2 linked regions of the Nothobranchius furzeri genome follow. The protein of the gene in region 2 binds, or shares a complex with, the protein of the main gene of each other region. Links are inferred from orthologs where the notes say so. Each region holds a gene or a part of one and is shown on either strand. Other genes may lie near its edges.

Region 1 (3,186 bases), on a different chromosome or scaffold from region 2:
ATCCTATCGTCTAATCTCACAGCTGAAACAAGCATCCTTAATAATCTGTGCACAGGAAGCTTACCGATGCTGTAGTAAAACAAAAGGTATAATAATTTATTATTAATAAAACCTTGTTGCAGCACTAAAGCAGAAAAATTAGATTTTGCATTAAATATGCAAAATATTTACATATGAATTGTTTTAGAGCCCTTTAATTGGCAGAATCTGATATTAATTTAGTTCTTACAAAAAATGGGTCCCAACATGGTTTGTGTGGCGTTGCCATAGTGTGACGTCATAGGCACAGATCCCCTGTCCTCTTGTTTGGAAATGGAAATATGATCACCCTACATTAAACAAACTGTCCACCCGGGCTTTTGCGCTGCACAGAGACGCTTCGCTGCCTACGACTGAACGTCAGTTGAGAGTCAGTCTCATGCAGACTGACCAATGAAGAGAGGGCCTCAAGTTAAGACCCTCTCCTCATTGGTCAGTCCACACGAGGTGGGTCAAAGGTTACTCTGGGCGGGTTACGTGTTGTCAGGCATTCAAGTATTGAGTATATTTACTGCATATTACAGTAAAATATTCTGTATGTGACCACATTATGGTGATCCTCGGGTCGTGATGATGGAGCCCTTGAATATTGTTGCCCAGGGTACAACAAAGTGTTAATCTGGCCCTGGTTCCGCCGTCACATTCCCGCAGAAACTGGTTGATCACACCGGGGCCAGACTACTAGCATGTGGTTTTACAACCACAATGTCCTCAGAAGCAAAAGCGCTTTTAAAAGGGAGGGAGGAGTCCTAACTGTTGCTGCAGGCGTGTTGTGTGAGAGTGCAGTTATATACTGGTTAATATATTTTTGGGTTCAGTTGCTTTCATGTGGCCTAATGTGAGTCTATTTGGGATCATTGGAATGATCAGCAGCATTTCTTGATGTGACTTTATGGCAGTTGCCCAGGGCATCATCGCAAGGAGGATGGCATTCATTTACTTTTGCTTTATTTGGTATTTTTTCAGTCATTTTTGGAAATAGTGATCAATTTTGATTAATTCACAGCCAATGTTTAATTACATTTAAAATAAATGTCAACAGATGAGATCAAACAAAACAGATGAGAATTGCCCTTAAGCTGTTTAACTTGGACCAAGCATTTTAGGTCACAGATAGATGTAGCTTAGGGTCTCTGTCTATACACCTTATAAGACAATTTAGGTGATGGCATGTTGTTTTCTAATAATGTTGTGTTAAATAAAGTGAAGGAAGGAGAGAAATAACGTTTCCCTAGCAGTTTTAAAAAATTTCCCCATGTAATCCGATTAATCGATTAATCGTGTCGAGACCCCATCCGATTAATCGATTATCCATATAATCGTTTGTTGCAGCCCTAGTGGTTATTGTTGGTGTCAGCATCATTGTCCCACGTGTCCGCTCCTCCTGCAGGACTGTACCTGTGAAGATTTCTGTCCTGAGTGCTCCGTGGAGCTGACCCTGGATGTTCGGTGCACGGAAGATCAGACGCGTCACGTCACCTCGCGTGACCTGTTGTCCAACAATCCCAGAGTCATCCCGGTGAGTGTGCAGTCTCTGGAGTTGCATCACAGAGCAGAACACAAAGCTTAACGTTCTCTTGTGGGTTTCTAGGTGACTTCTAGGAGCCGAGACAATGATCCAAATGACTACGTTGAGCGAGAGGGCGAGTTTCTCTTTAAAATACTTGTGGAACAATTTCATTGTGTTCTTCCACACTTTGCTTATCTACATTTTCTGTTTGTGTCGTTTACCAACACGACAGACATTTTGTTGGTAAAGCTTCGTAAAGGTCAGGAGCTTCGGCTCAGAGCGTACGCAAAGAAAGGTTTTGGTAAGGAGCACGCCAAGTGGAACCCAACCGCGGGGGTGTCCTTTGAGTACGACCCGGACAACGCACTGAGACACACGGTCTATCCACGACCTGAGGAGTGGTACGTCTTCATTTCACCATAAATCTTGTAAATTATAATGCTGAACAGCAACAGAATGGTGTGTTTTATCTCAGGCCAAAGAGTGAATACTCTGAGATCGAGGAGGATGAAGTTCAGGCTCCCTACGACCCAAACGGAAAGCCAGAAAGGTAAATAAACTTCTATTATAGGATAATTTTAATGATGTTTCCTGTTAAGAAGTTCTGCGTGTTCTTGGTTCAGCTCAGGAATCGTTTTTACTTTAAAAAAAAAACACAAAACTGAGATGTTCTGAAAAGGAAAACTTGGGATTTTTGCTCCATCCAGGTTCTATTTCAACGTGGAGTCGTGCGGTTCTCTTCGACCAGAGACCATCGTCATGTCGGCGTTGGCGGTCCTCAAGAAGAAGCTGAGTGACCTGCAAACGCAGCTGAGCCACGAGATCCAGAGTGACGTTCTCACCATCAACTAACTAAGCAGAACCTGGATTCACACTGGCTAGGGGGGTTCTGAGATTAATACAAAATATTTAGTTGGATTAAGAATAAAACTTCAAACTGTCAGATAATTATTTTTTGTTTAATGACTGTTTTTAAATAAATCCTTTTTAAATGTGTGTCTCTTTACTAGTGTTCGTTTTATTTTGAAGACCAGCTGTTGGAAGTTTGAAGTGACCTGAAGAAACTTTGTGCTTCAAAGATAAAAGAAAAACAAGAAAACTAAATCTCTAGATAATGACAGCAGTATGAAAATCGAGCTATTTGTAATATTCTATTTAATTTGATATTTTTTGTAATTAGAATTTTAATCCTCCAATGAAAACAAAAAATAATGACTTCAGATTATGTTTAATTGTAATTGGTAATCTGATTTGATTGATGGCCACATACTCTGTTAAAAAGGGATTAAATTTATTAAGCCATCTAGATGCAACTGACTAGCGCTTCATCATCATCACAACACCACCCTGCTTCACTGGCTGCCAGTCAACTTCAGGGTTCATTTCAAGATCCTGGTTCTGGTCTATAGGGCCTTACATGGACAAGCACCATCTTACATTGGTGATCTTCTTAGTCCCTACACCCCCAGCAGGTCCCTGAGGTCCAGTGATCAAAGCCTACTGGTTGTGCAGCACCAGGCTAAAGGTCAAAGGTGACAGATCATCTGCTGCTGTGGCCCCCAGACTCTGGACCTCTCTCCCCCTGAGCCTGAGACCAGTGGACTCAGTGGTCTCCTTTAAAAAGCAGCTGAAGACTC
Region 2 (3,826 bases):
TGCCATAATGCTTACGCAGAAAAATCAAAGCCATGGATTGTTTACAATGTATTTCTGAGGGAATGCCGCGATATGATGTAACCAGCTGGGTAGCGTCAGAAAGATCAGAAACTATCTTGTGTTTTTGCAGCGGAAGTCAGATCTTTTTTCAGCAGAGGTTTTTAGACTTTCTACCCGTCACTGAAAGGAAATTACCTCTGGCCAGAAGCTTTAAGTACCTCCATCTGCTCATGTCTCATTGAGCTCTGTGATATGCCAGACCTAAAATAGTTTGGGCCAATGGTGAACCTGCTGAGACTACAACAAAGTGTGGCTAGATCGACCTTCGGAGCAAAACCTTTTGCTGCGGCTACGGTTTGGGCAGCAGTAGCTCAACAGGTTGAGCGGGTTGTCCAGTAATCGGAAGGTTGCAGGTTCGATCCCGGCTCCGGACAGAGAATTCTGCTGTTGTGTCCTTGGGCAAGACACTTAACCCACCTTGCCTGCTGGTGGTGGTCGGAGGGACCGGTGGCGCCTGTGCTCGGCAGCCTCGCCTCTGTCAGTGCGCCCCAGGGCAGCTGTGGCTACATCGTAGCTCATCACCACCAGCGTGTGAATGTGTGTGTGAATGGATGAATGATACACTGTAGTGTAAAGCGCTTTGGAGTCCTTACTCTGAGAGGCGCTATACAAGTGCGGGTCATTTATCATTTGACTAGGCTATAAAGAAGCTAAGTAAATTAAGATGTCCCGATTAAACTGTTGTCCACATTTCTGCCCCATTCTGAGCAAACTCGGGTATCGGTGTTGCGTTATTCTCTGATCTCTGTAGAGAGACAGAGTGGGACATACAGTCAACAACATCACCCACCTTCGTCAACTGAAAACTGACAATTCTTGTCATTGTAGAACAGAACCTTCTTCTTGTCTGGTCTTGTAACAAAGATGATCTGATCTCCCAAAGCCTACAGAGATACAAACATCTATAATTCCATGTTTGATTCTCGTATTTAAACACATCTTCATGTAAATTTGGGTCACCTTGATGGCTTTGGCAGCATTAGGGAGCCCCTCCTCCACATCGTCCAGTAGCACTCCACCCAGGCCAAGTTGGTCATGTTTGTCCAGCAGCCTCACTAAGGCCTTCTTGTCCTTCAGGTTGTACTTGGGCTTGAAGCCATAAGTCCCATCACGAACCTCAATTTTTGGGTTGTTGACCAATGCCTGAAAATAATAGCAGATATAACTACTGAGTCATAGATTTAATGGTACTAATAATGGTAATAGATGAAACGTAAAGTAAAAGTAAGATATGCAGAGGCTTTTTAACAAAAACATATGTTTGTCTATATAAACCAAATCATGTCAGATTCTATCGATCTGCTCTGTGGGGTACCCCAAGGCTCTGTTTTGAGTTCACTCTTTTTCTACTGTATATAAACCCTCTTGGACAGATTATTATCCTTTTCATAATGTCTCTTATCTATATGCAGATGATATTCAGCTGTAGGGATTCTGAGTTCTATAAACTGTCTGAATTACTAGTCTATCAGCCATCACCAGCTGGCTAGAAGAAAACATCCTTCAGTTCACTTCTGAATAACTCAACTCAACTCAGCCTTTATTTATAAAGCACCTTACAGGCATGAGCATGCCACCAAGGTGCTGTACAACAAAATAGTAAAACAATAAAACATATCGCTACAGACATATTTAAAACCACAAATGAGACTTGCAAAATATAAAACATTAACAACTGCTAACCCACAGAATTAAAAGCCAGATCATAAAAGTACGTTTTCAGCCTCATTTTAAAAACTGCTACTGATGGAGAGTCCCTAATAGTTAGGGGCATTGCTTTCCTCAGTTTCAGACCCGCAACAGAGAACGTCCTGTCCCCTCTTAACTTCAGCCTAGCCTTAGGAGCCACAAGCAGCAGCTGGTTCTCAGAGCGGAGTGACTGGGCCAGAGCATATGGCTGCAGCAACTAAGCCAAATAGGTTCCTGACTGGGACCAGGAAACGGGACCACATCAGTACGGTTCTGGCCTCCCTGCACTGGCTTCCGGTTTGCTATCGCTCACAATTCAAAATCCTCGTCTTTGTTTATCATTTCTTCCAGGGTGGTGGTCCCCCCTATCTAGCCACTCTCCTGAACAAACACTCCCCATCACGCGCTCTGCGCTCCTCTGACCAAGGCCTGCTCGCTGTCCCTCGTTCTAGGTGTCGTATTCGCGGGGACCGGGCTTTCTCAGTCCTAGCACCGTCACACTGGAACCAGTTGCCACCCTCAGTTAGGCTGTCCCCATCTCTGCCAGCCTTTAAGAGTCACCTAAAAACACACCTCCTCCGCTTGGCGTTTCCTGAACATGTTTGATTCGGCCCTCTATTATGTTGAATTTATTTCACAGTTTTCATTGGTTCACTCTATCCATTGTTTTACACATCTGTCCTGTACCAGAATGTTTCACCTTTTTTTGTAATTTGTATTTAGTAATTTAATTTGCTTTTATTTTTGAATTGCTTTTATTTTTGATTTATTCACTATATTTGTACTTCTACTGTACCATGTTCAGTGCCTTGGGCTTCCTGACAGGGTTGCGGAAGGCGCTTTATAAATAAAGCTTTGATTGATTGATTGATTGAAATAGGCTGGAGCCACACCATTCAGCGCCTTTAACACCATTAAATGAACTTTAAAACGAATTCTAAAATCAACAGGTAAACAGTGGAGAGCAGCCAAAATTGGTGTCACGTGCTCATGCTTCCTTTTGCAGTCCAAGAATCTAGCTGCAGCATTCTGGACAAGCTGCAATCGGGCTACAGTACCCTTACACCAAATAAAACGGAATCGCAATAGTCGAGTCGTGAGGTAATAAAAGCATGAACAACAGTCTCAAGGTCACGTCTAGATAAAAATGGCTTTACTTTAGCCAAACGTCTTAAATGATAAAATGAAGAGGATACTACAGTACCCACATGAGCATCCATGCAGAATGCACTGTCCATCTTCACGCCAAGGTTGACTGCTGAAACACCCATACAGGAGTTCAGTTTACCGCAGTCTACGTTGGAAAAATCTAAATGTTCACTCAGTCCAAACAACAGTGCCTCTGTTTTTTTTCCCATTGAGACACAGGAAGTTTTCTGCCAACCATATCTTAATTTCTGCCAAACAATCTCAAAAATCTTTATCGTGTGATCACCGGCGCCATCTAGAGGTAAGTACAATTGGCAGTTGTCGGCAAAGAGATGGAATCCAATTCCAAACTTTTGTAGAATGTCCCCCAATGGGAGAATATAAATGGGAAACAGCAACGGTCCCAGTATAGAACCCTGCGGTATCCCCCAAGGCAGAAGTGAGAGGGCCGATGAGGATAAACCAAATGTCTGCTCATTGTCCCCAAGAGCATGGTTCCCCTGACTAGTGAGAGCATGGTTCCCCTGACTAGTAAACAACTTGGTCATTTAACCTCTGATGTCAAGTTAAACTTGAGGAATTTGGGTGTTGTTTCTTCTCTTCAAGGCCACTCAAACCACTCAAAAACATTGGTCCGAAACATTTTCACCACTTAAGAAATATCTCCAAACTGTGAAGGTTGGTGTCAAAACATGAACTTGAATTAGTTATCCATGCCTTTATCTCCTCTCGTCTAGATTACTGTAACACACTCTTCACATGTTTTAACAAAAAAAACCTTGACCACCTTGCTTCAACCCCACCGCTCAGGTCCACAAACCAGAACCTTCTAGAAGTACCAAAGACCAGTCGAGGTGATCGCTCCTTCCAGGCTGTCACCCCCCGACTTTGGAATGATCTTCCTTTATCCTTCCATAGTATTCAGTCT

The links.
Region 1: gtf2e2 (region 2) and polr2c share a complex: the UniProt entries of both Homo sapiens proteins name them as parts of the TBP-based Pol II pre-initiation complex. The link is inferred for Nothobranchius furzeri from reciprocal best matches to the Homo sapiens genes GTF2E2 and POLR2C.

Annotation. Positions count from the first base shown.
Region 1 is NC_091744.1:86,086,141-86,089,326, forward strand, and holds the end of polr2c (DNA-directed RNA polymerase II subunit RPB3), read left to right. Parts: intron 1-1,429; coding exon 1,430-1,558; intron 1,559-1,630; coding exon 1,631-1,682; intron 1,683-1,781; coding exon 1,782-1,950; intron 1,951-2,024; coding exon 2,025-2,099; intron 2,100-2,256; coding exon 2,257-2,401; 3' UTR 2,402-2,545; downstream 2,546-3,186. UniProt on the Homo sapiens protein: Core component of RNA polymerase II (Pol II), a DNA-dependent RNA polymerase which synthesizes mRNA precursors and many functional non-coding RNAs using the four ribonucleoside triphosphates as substrates.
Region 2 is NC_091747.1:77,638,451-77,642,276, reverse strand, and holds part of gtf2e2 (transcription initiation factor IIE subunit beta), read right to left. Parts: intron 1,204-3,826; coding exon 1,021-1,203; intron 945-1,020; coding exon 851-944; intron 1-850. UniProt on the Homo sapiens protein: Recruits TFIIH to the initiation complex and stimulates the RNA polymerase II C-terminal domain kinase and DNA-dependent ATPase activities of TFIIH. Both TFIIH and TFIIE are required for promoter clearance by RNA polymerase.